Linked DNA regions of Caenorhabditis elegans. The protein of the gene in region 1 interacts with the protein of each later gene in a biochemical or structural test. Each region holds a gene or a part of one and is shown on either strand. Other genes may lie near its edges. The genes, in order: flp-10, dmsr-1 and frpr-8.

Evidence for each region.
Region 2: the proteins of flp-10 (region 1) and dmsr-1 interact in a test that uses a peptide from one of them, tested with the Caenorhabditis elegans proteins (one large-scale study listed by BioGRID).
Region 3: the proteins of flp-10 (region 1) and frpr-8 interact in a test that uses a peptide from one of them, tested with the Caenorhabditis elegans proteins (one large-scale study listed by BioGRID).

What each region holds. Positions count from the first base shown.
Region 1 is NC_003282.8:7,866,829-7,870,586, forward strand, and holds flp-10 (FMRF-Like Peptide), read left to right. Parts: upstream 1-2,078; 5' UTR 2,079-2,101; coding exon 2,102-2,174; intron 2,175-2,668; coding exon 2,669-2,799; 3' UTR 2,800-3,253; downstream 3,254-3,758.
Region 2 is NC_003283.11:11,436,671-11,440,428, reverse strand, and holds the start of dmsr-1 (G-protein coupled receptor dmsr-1), read right to left. Parts: upstream 1,660-3,758; 5' UTR 1,612-1,659; coding exon 1,541-1,611; intron 1,262-1,540; coding exon 945-1,261; intron 894-944; coding exon 634-893; intron 339-633; coding exon 1-338. UniProt on the Caenorhabditis elegans protein: G-protein coupled receptor.
Region 3 is NC_003284.9:8,696,160-8,699,917, reverse strand, and holds the start of frpr-8 (G-protein coupled receptors family 1 profile domain-containing protein), read right to left. Parts: upstream 2,102-3,758; coding exon 1,878-2,101; intron 1,000-1,877; coding exon 897-999; intron 610-896; coding exon 388-609; intron 1-387.

The DNA.
Region 1 (3,758 bases):
AATTCTGAGAACTCGGCGTCATTGAATCACACGTATCATCATTTATCGTACACGTATCGTATCATTTATCATCAAACTTGAGCTATGATACCTATTTAACTTTACGTCAGCATCAGTTAGCAGACTAAAATCGAATTATAGTGGATATGAATAGAGGGCGGAAAAGCATGACAACAACGTTCGAATCGAAAAAACAACTTGAACCGTTGAGAAATGTTCAATTAGTGTTGAGTTCAAGAGCTCGGAGATCGAATTATTCCTATGATTATTTAGTTTCTCCTCTACTGTAGGTTTCAGAGCTGTGCTAAATTTATATGCATATAGAGAAAAATTATTTTTCTTCGTTGGAGAAGAAGGATCTTTTTGTATTGCATAGGATAAATAATCGGAAAAATATGCTAATCATAAGACAAAAACTTTTGGAAAAAAACTAGTGTTGCTTCGCGATTCGGCACCTGGGTGAACATCTCCAAAACGTGGGAAATTTTTTGAAAATTACTCGGCTAATGACTAGTGTTTTATCTCGTCTACTCATCATATACAACTTCTTACAAGTGTCTACTTCTCGAATTAAATTCCGATTTTCCCCGATTCGAAGAGCCGCACAGCTCTGATAAGAATCACGAAATTGAACTCGGAAAATCTCGAGATCAGTTCCGCCATATTCGTTTTGTTTCCTACATTCATTTGTTCTCATTTCAAATGTTTATTTTAGTCTTTCTCGTATTTTTCTTTGCTTATTCTGCGTTCCATCATAATATCTATTTTTCTTTCCATCTTTGATACGGAAATAACACATTAGGCTTGTGTTTGATGTGACCCAGTTATCACATCTCTCCCACCCTTGCCACGTCATCATTCATCCACAGAGCATTCGGGTCGAAGGGGGTGGAGCTTGTAAACGAGCAGGGGAGGATGCTCCGCCCGTCGTGTTCTTCTGCAAAGAATTGAAGTCGAATTTTTTATTTTTCATTCCATTTTTATGAGATGGTAGTTGTTGGTACGTACACCAGTTTTATGATCTTGGCCACTCAATTCGGGGTTTTCAAGTTGTTTTAGTGTTAGAGACCTCTGGAATTCAAGAGTACGTCTTGATTTATTTTACATGTAAAGTGGTGTCAATTGTAATTCCTCCAGGACCACTGTCATGACTTCAAGCTAGCTTGCAATTAGAGGTCAAAAGTATATGATACCGTTTGACAACAGGTGCCAATGAATCCACAAATCAAATACACGCGCGAGCCCCATCCTCAAACGAGACGTGATCACATTTAAGCCCGGATTTGCGGCAATCGAACATTTTTGATAATTGCCGAAATTGCCGAGTGCCGGACTGTTTCGGCAATTTTCAAACCTAACTAAAGTTAGAAAATTTTAAAAAAATCAGCCTTGTTCTTTAATAATAGATTAGTCTTCGTTTGAAATAATATTTTGACGCAAAAATTATCAGACTTATATTTTCGGCAATTCAGATTTCCGGAAATTCGCCAAATCGCCGAAATTGCCAAAAATTCGATTGTCGAATGGAAATAGTCGCGCACCTATGATCCAAGCCCTCAAAACCTGTGCATTACCTAAAAATTCCAGTATCCAAATTATTCATCTTTCAAACGAAATCTGAGATTTATATTCAAAATGGATAACCTCCTCTTCAGATCTCACTTTTACTCTCACCTTTCTCTTTTTCCACTTTTCTTATCCAATTAACGTTTATGACCGATAATAAAGGTCAGTTTGTTTTTGAAATGAGTAGAGAGAAGTGTTCAATTATTCCTTTTCCTTGTTAGACATTACCAGAACAATTCAATTTGCCACGTCATCAAAAGTACGTGATCAAAAAAGACCCGAAGATGATGTGATGAAGAAGGAGTGAAAGATGAAAGAAGACCACCAAGAAGCACGCTGAATTTTTGATATTATTAACATTTCTTCAGAGACTAGAGTACCTACTTTCGTTTCAACATTTTCTCATTTTCTTTCCTCTTTCCTCATTCTCATGACCTTACCATGAATTCACCCATCTCACTAATTATACGCCTAAATCTTTTCTTATTCTCGAATCATGGACACTTTTCTAGGCAATCAACTCATACAGCAAAGGATGCAACTCTCCATCGTTTTCGTCTTTTTTGTTCTCTGCTTGGCCGCTGTTTTTGCTGTTCCTATCAGCGATGGTAAGCTTTTTAACTGTATTTCTAGTATACACTCAGTTTTCGGTAAATGAGTCAAAGTAAAATCATGTAAGAATCTGAAATATTGAAAGTTGCGTTTTTTAACCATGAGAAAAATTTACTGGTTTTTTTGGGCATATGAGAATTTTCACTACGAAATTCGTTCACTTGAAAACATTTTGAGTATGCCTTCATAATATCGTTAGTTCTCCTTTACTAAATAACTTCCAATTTCATCAGATTTTTTTCGAAAAATTTTTAACAAGCTGGCTTAGTCATTATAAAAAACCGAGCTATTTTGGGTAAAATACACAGATTTGTTTGTTACAAGTTTTGCAACTGGCAAACAACTGATTTTGTTGTTTTTAGGCGATCTCACAGAATAATATTCTGTAGTTTGAGTTTTCCCAGCGTCAAAGAGAAACAAAATAAAACCGAAAACTGTCAATCAAAGTGGATTGATCAGAGTAAAAACTATCTTAATAATCCATTTCCAGCTTCCCGTGCTCGTCGTCAAGTCGCATCGGAGAAGCGTCAACCAAAGGCACGCTCTGGATACATTCGATTCGGAAAACGAAGAGTCGATCCAAATGCAGAACTTTTGTATCTCGACCAACTTCTCATTTGAATCCGGCATTCCGACATCTCTTTCATCATCTTCTTCATCATCTTCAACAAAATCCACGTCATCATGCGCCCTTTCTTTCTCTGCGTCTCGTCTAGTCTCTCATTCTCATGTTACAGTAATCCAACAATTATTGAACACTGAACAATTAATTCCTTCTTCTCAACCATCCCCACCAGTCGTCAAGTTTTCGTTTCATCAAATTTCTTGACCTGAAAAATATTCGTTTCATATTTCTAATAACGAAGATTTGATCTCGAAGCGCTTTTAACTAAAATGTCACCAAATAAATTATATTCATTTAATTTTACAATTGCTTCTCTTTTTCGTCTTTTATTTCTCTTGAATTCTTCTCCACCCATCGACCCCCGAACACATCCCAATGCTTTTTTGTTTGATTGTCGCATTCCAGTATTTTCAGTTTCAAAATACACAGCGAATAAAACGATTTGTTGTATTTTTATATTTAATATCATAAAAATTATTATGCTCAAGACTTTGAGTTCTCTATTTCAATAGAACATTTCCGAGTTCGTGAATCAGGGTATTGTGAATATGGATGAAAGAATCTGCTTCTATTATGACTTTGTGTTTATTTCTTCCCAGTTATTACATTATTACGTTATTATTAATCACTAAAATCTACTAATTGACGTTTACAACTTTAGTAGAGATCTGTTAAACATTAAAGCTCCAAGAAAACTACTCAATCAGTACAAGAACGAACTAGTCATAATTTTGGCGACCGCCGAAATTACCAACTGAATTTAATTTAAGACTTTTTTATTAAACTGCATATGAAACCCCAAACTTCGTCCTTTATATAATCAAATAAGAGAGACAAATTTTAAGATTTTTTTGTGTAGATTTGTGATTACTACAGTAATTCTTCAGGGGGTTGTGTGTACTCTAAATAAAAAAGGAGGTGGCAGTCCTGACGATTAAAGTAACATTTTTTATAA
Region 2 (3,758 bases), on another chromosome or scaffold:
GACAAGACAGCCATAATTCCTTGAGGTAATTCAGTCACTAGCATAACTGCTACAATTGCCAATAACATATGAGTTGTCCGATCGACACGTTCTCCTCTCCCCCGTAAGCTTCCATTTCTGCCTAATTTCTCGTTGCCTGCAACTGAAATGCTCAGTCTTTGTCCGTTTCGAGTAGTCGTTTGATTCGGTGGTCGATGTTGCGAGTTCTTGAGAAGACGTTGACGATTCTCACGCACTTCACGAAGAATTCGTAAAAGGAGCCAAACAAACAACGATAGAAGCGCACATGGTAATACTTTGAATACCATACCGGATATCCAATAAGATAACCGGAAGACCTGCAGGAAATTAGGAAATTGGTTTTTGCTAGGGTGACGATCACGATGATAAATATTATTTTGTATAATTTTCATGATATCATATGTACATATGATCGATCAATTATTTCCAAAAAGGTTTATATAAATCCAAAGCTTCAAAGTTATATTATGATGATCTTGCCAAAATTTTTAGTTTATAAATCTAAGTTCCAATAAAAAAGTTTTTCGAGAAATTTTGTTTGTATACAATTTGTCAAACATTATTTTTTAACAAAAATCTTGTTTTTTTTTTACTGAAATTCAAAAATCTTACCAGACAGCTGTTTGCTTTTGCAATGTCTGCAATTCCAGGAAGATACGCGGGCGAATTCCAGAACATTGGATCCAAATCGGTACACGTTTCATTCAATGGCTGTTCATTGATTTTGTAATTCAGAAAATTCGGTGCATTAAGCACTGCTACAAGGGATACAGTAACAGCAACGGCATAATAAGAATGCCTTAACGTCACTTGCATACCACCCATATTTCCCCTACTTCGAAGTGTTACATATCGAACAAGTGCAAGCATAACTGCAATAAAATCGAAGAGTTGGACAGTTGTCTTCAGAATGAAAAGCTTACCTGACAACCAAACACTTGAAGAATGTGCAACTAATGAAAGATGAGCATGAGCAATTAAAAATAACGCCCAAGAGTAGGACCAATGTTTCGGATGACAAAACTTGAAAGCGACAAATGAGTAATGTGTTGTGTATATTAAATTTGAAAATAACACAACTGTATCACAAGATGCCATTGCTGTCAAAATCATATTAACTGGCGTTCGCATTGTTCGTCTCGTTAGTACGACGATGTTACAGAAATTAGCGATTGTACCCAACACGCATAGAAATATTGATAAGTAGGCATGTATAGGATGGTAGAAATTATATACACTTCTGAAAAAAAAACGTTTAATTTCACTTTTTTCCACTTTTGCTCTTGAAATATTTATTAATGGCTCTCTTTTTTATGGTCATCACTTTTGAGGACACAATAATTTAAGATAAGATAACCTTCTTCAATAACTTGGTTTTATTCGCTATTTTTAGGGATGATTTCTACAAATAATAGGATAACTTTTAATGATGATAAACTGTACTTTTTGAAAATACGTCAAATACAACAGTACTGGGCAATTATTTGAAAGATTTTTGAGACACAAAAGTAAAACTTACACAAAAACATCGTATAAAAAACTTTTATCGGGCAGATGAATAAATGTAGTTTTGCATTCGGTAAACTCCATTTTGTTTGCTGTTCCTCTGTTCTATTGTTTCTGATTCTATTTGAACATCTGAAAAAAAACAACAATTTATTAATATTGAAACGTTGAAAATGAGGAAAACAAGCGTTCAAATGAAAAACGGCTCCGATTCGGAAAACCGGAAAACGTCATTAGAAATGAGAGATGACTATGAAAAAAATGACAAAAGGGACAAAGATTTGGCAACACATTGCTCATTCACTTTTTAAAACAAAAACACTCAAATAATAGGGTGAGTGTGTTTTTTTGGAACAAAAAAACTAACAAAAATATACTGCAAGCTTTTGCTCAAAAATCTAAGATAAACACCAATTATTGCCAATTAGGGAGATCTTGCAGATAAAACTTCCTTAAAGAAATCATTATTCAGAAATTGAAGGAGTTGCAAAATCAGAAAATATAAAAATAAAAATAGCACAGGAAGTTTAATGATTTTTTTACTGGGAAAATTAAGAGTACAATTGAAAAAAGAGAGCCAAAAAGTTTTGAATGAACTTCAGAAGGAATAATTTGCATAAACTGAACAAGATTAATACATTCAAAAGTACACAAATTTTCGGAAAAATTGATATGCACTATACCAAATTCATATTCACATTCGTTTTTTGATTAATTTTTTTGCCGCTACACAATTTCGGCAATTGAGCATGTATTCGATTACAAAGAAAATGTCACAAATTCCAGGCACTTGGAAAAATAAATTGATAATTATTTCTTTTTCTATCACTTGGAAGAAGAGTTGTTTTTAAATGCCCGCTATTTCAGAGAGACATCACGTCATTAAAAACCATAAACGTTACGCATTTTGAAAAATAGAAAATTCAAAAACCTAAATGGATATCTCAACAGCTTTTTGTCACTATTTCACTGTCTCTTCACTTCAAAACACACACATATATATATATATATATATATATATATATATATATATATATGTGCAATATCCGTATCTACTTCCAACCGCTATTCGATCACTAAAAGAAACTCAAAACAAGCCTCGCTTCCTAGTCCTTCCGTTCGCCGCCATGATGGGCCCAGTATCTAAGCATGGGCGGAATTTGTTGCTTTTTTACTCAAAAAAAAGAACCTTTTTTATGTTGAGCACGGACAGATAAACGCAGAGCGGGGTGCAACGCATCTCTCCCCGACAAAAAATAACATCAGAATATAACCAAATTTCGGTCAGCGCTCGGAAGTGTGTGAGGCGGCCTAGCGCGCTCCAACTCTAATTACAGAGCGGATAAGGTTTGGATAGATATTTCCAAAGTTAGTCATGTGTTGATCCGTGACCACATGTCAGGTGAGCACCCATTTCCGGAGTCACTTCAGGAAAAAAACTCATTGAGCTGACTCTCGTGCCAGAGGAATTTTTCGCACTTATCATTAAAGAAAACGACAAAAGTTTATGCTGAAAATGAAAATATTTGCCGGAATTCGGTTTGAAGTTACGATAAAAAAGTAAAAGGTACAAGATCAAACTCCACTGGCAAACATATCCCAAGTATTGAAAATTTTAAGCATAATTACTTTTGAGTTAGGGGAAGGAAAATGATGGAAGTCCGGTTAGGTCGGATTTTCCTATATTGCTTGTTAAATCATTTTTGTGTATTAAATTGTATTGAAAAATAGCTGAAAAATAAGGATTATTATAACTTCTCTTATTTTACTTTTTAAAATTATTTTTTGTGACGTCGAACTTTAAAATGCAACGCCAAAAGTTTCCACAATGCAATCAAATCCTTTATACTTAAAACATCAAAATCCAACAACATGTAAACATATTTACAGAACAGAAAATTCTAAAAATATTACAAACTTGTAAACAAGTTGATAGTTGAGAAGACCTATCAAGAAGTATGATACGAGTGAGAGTACAAAAAGTACCCACAAGAAGTATCAAACTCGGAGAAAAAGATGGAAGGTACGGGGCCAAATAAAAAAACCGACGGATGTTGAGACCGAGAAAAATGCAAATTCTGAAGCTAACCGAATTTGTGACAGTGGATGGGCTCTTTGCCTAACTTAAACGAAACTTCATGTGACCTTACGAATGACGCAACTATTTCTGCACATAAAAAGGTGACAGAAGAAGAAGCCGTAGGATAAACTGACCAAACTTAGAGAGATGA
Region 3 (3,758 bases), on another chromosome or scaffold:
CTTAGAAATCAAAGTCAGTAGCTCTTGTGTTTTGATATACACACGCAAATGTATATTTTAAAAATTCTAAAATAAAATTGAACATTTTCACACAGTGATCAACTTATTATCAATGAACAGTGTGCTGACATGTTTAATATTCTGAATGCTTGAATGATTTTAAAACTGGGGTCACAAACTCTAATAGCATTGATGTTTGTTTTCACAAGAAATTTTATTTTAAAAAACCTTTAAACTACAATTATCGTAGCAACAGACTTCCGTAATATGCAAATTTGATATATTATAAAAACATTACTTTAGACCATAATAGTCAGGATACGAAACTTTAAAACGTTGTGTGTATTTCGAAATACAAAATAAAAAATTGACAATTCTTGTACTTACTTTGAACAATATGCTAAAAACCGTAATCGCAATAAGTATTGTTGTTGCTCGGCGCGGTGTGCACCAAATTTTGCTATGAAGCGGATAGTTAACAGCAAGAAATCGATCCACCGTCACTGCAACACATGTCCAGACACTACCACATTGTGCGATATTTGATATGGGTAACGTCCAAGGAGTTGATCTCCAGAAGAAATGACAAACCGCGGTGTCCCCGTGACCCTGAATAGTTTATTTGAATTATTGCTAACATAGTTGTTTTTAGTGGTGTTCTGAAACATTCATATTTCTGGAAACATAAATTATACGCAGTTTCTAAGACATTAGAAAATTATTTCAGACCTTGATGAAACTCGAAGTTTTGAGAAATATTAAATCCCTCTTCAATATCATAAATAACTTTTTTCATTTCTCTTTCCGTGCTATGAGCTTATCGATGAATAAATTGATGGACATTTCTTCATCTCATTACAAATTCCACTGAATATCAACCAGTTATCTACGCTCACCTGCAAAACGCAACCTTGGAGAGGTGAAAAGATCAGAGCACTGAATGAAAGCAGGATAAGATCGAAAACCGATAATCCGGCAAGATATACGTTGAGTGATGATCTGAAGTTAAAAATATTTTGTATTTCTATGTATCCTTATTTGCTCTTTTTTCTTGAAATGAGTATTTGAACAGACTACCAAAGAAAATTAAAACTAAATAAATGGGGAACAATTTGATGTCATTAATTTTTCAAAAAGATTAATACAATCAAAAAAAATCATAAAAATGTCGTCAGTTGTACATGAATTAAAATGTTTATTAAGGGCCAAGAAAATTTGAAATCACTGTTTCAATTGAATTGTGCAGCAAGAACAAATTGAAAGATTTATTTGAATAGTTTTTGATCATTTTTTGAAATGAATAGCAGCCTAAAGCTATAGCTCGTTTTTGACTAATGTGAGGTAAATTTTTATAAATATATAGGCTAATAAATATTTATTTTTAGAACTAAATAGCGTATTTTTATCAGGGAAAAACATTTGGTGTTTCCCTAACTTTATTTTTGATTTACTTGTTGGACAAGACTCCTTCTTTATTCGACAAAAAAGGCAGAAACATAATTTGTGAAAAAAAAAACTGCTATCGTTTTTTTTTCATATAAAAATTATTATTTTCCTGTGAACCATTTGGGGTACAGATATACACGCATCACATATTCATTTTTTTAGAAATAATGATTAAACATATTACCTATCCACGTTACTGTGTTTGTTAGAAGATATAGACGCAGAAAAATGAAAAAGTTTCCCTCGTACACGTTTCCGTAAGCCACGTGACTTCGTCGTCCTTTCTCAAAACGTTCGAAGTCTTTTCGTTGCGGGGAACAGATTTTCTTTGCGTCTCTTATATTTTCTAACTTAAAAAGTGAAGTGGATAGGTAATTCGAATTCAGTCCTTTCTAGATATACTCTCACAAGTACTCTTCAATAAAACGAACCTCATTTGTTTCCTAGTGAACACCACAATGCACATTACCGCAGCGCCGGCTCCCAGCACGCAAATTGTTGGAATGGCAAGCAGGTAAATATATGTGCTAATGTAATCGACCTCCGCAAAATTAGTTGGATAGCTGCATGTTCCTTTTGTACTTCCAGAAAAACCTGGCTGATCCGTAGTGACCAGTGTAGAATTATTAAGAAGCGAAATAACTGTCGAGTTCATAGCCAGAGGCCGAAGTGGTGTGGCACACACTGGAACACGATAAAAATTGGTTTTAGAAAGAAAAAAGGCTCTAACTAAGAGATAATTGAGTTTTGGTTGAAACGAAACAAAAAAGCGAAGACGGAGCAACCAAAGTTCAAAAGTTGAAAAAAAGAAGCAGTGACGTAGGGGTCTATTCAAATTTAACGATTAACATACATCCTTGAAAATGGTATTAGGTGACTAAATTCTTCAATATAAAACTTGTAAAACAAAACGAATATATATGAAACTTCGGAGAAAGTAGGAAGTAAAATTTATGGTATACATACTAACACAAAAATGAACTTGTAATTAGTTTATTCGAGCGAATAATTAAATGAGAACTTTTTTTCAAAATCAGAGTTTTGGTTTGTTAAGAAAAAGAAAGTAAACTAAGATAAGAGTGAAAATTTAAAACAAAAACACATAGTTGACAATTTCAGTAAGATACGTTTTTGTTACTCGTACTTTCAAAAAGTCTAGGAGAAAATACACTTATTTTCGAAAATTTTGAACAAAACCATCCACTAATTTCTTAAGTTTTTCTTTCTTTTCAAAACAAAAAAACAGTTGGATCTTCAAGACTAACTAGTCTTACTTTATTGATGCCTTACAAAATGGCTTCAAAAAAGTGAGTTCTGGTAAATAGTAGGGCATCAATGAAAAGACGAAGCAGAATTGAAATATACTACTAGTCATTTTTATGATGTTCGACTATATATAGTATCAAGAATTTGTGAATAACTACTGAGAAAAAGGGGACTGCATGGTCAGTAATGAATATGTTAGCGGAGAAGTGGAAGCCAAAAAGTCGTGAACGGCTGGTATCATCACGTAGCTTTCACAAAAACAAAGGAGGTTCTTTGAATAAGCAATGATGATTGAAGAAATGTTATTTGATATTTGAAACCTGTTCCAATTACGGGGAATAATAATTTACGAAAACTCACTTTAAATATGATTTGTCAAAATACAAGATTAGTTAAAGAAGTATGGTTTTACTGAGATATTGTACCCAAACCAAAATCAAAGAGCGATAAAGACTTGTTTCTGTTTAGAAAAAGAGTTTGAAAATTGGATTCTTTGTATTTTTAACTTTTATATGTAAAATAATACAATGATAAAATTTTTTCAAACGATTTTGATCAACTTATTCATTCTAATTGTAGATATACTCACTCACCAAAATGAAAAAAAGTTTAAAAAAAAAGAAAATTAACATGATGTCATTGTAATTTCCGGATAAAATATATACTTTAAATTGAAGACTTTGAAGAAAAAATTCATATTTTTTGGCAAGCTCTAGTTGACCATTCACATATTTCATAATTCATAGCTCAAGGACATATTTTTACACTCGTTGTTCAAACGAGCATTTTCTTGGAAAAAACATTCGATGTATTTTTGGAAGATGTATTCACTCTAAGAAAAACAAAAATATCGAAGTTCTAAAAGTGAGCTCTTGATATTCTTGCGTATTCATTTTAGCGGAAAAGTGAGCTTGACTCAGATAGTCATTATGTGCAAAGTTGTGTACGGAAAAATAGTCTTAAAAACTATAACGATAATTATCGAATTAAATTGAAAATGAAGGAAATGGATATGAAAAATACATTCGTGAACTTATAGGAACTGC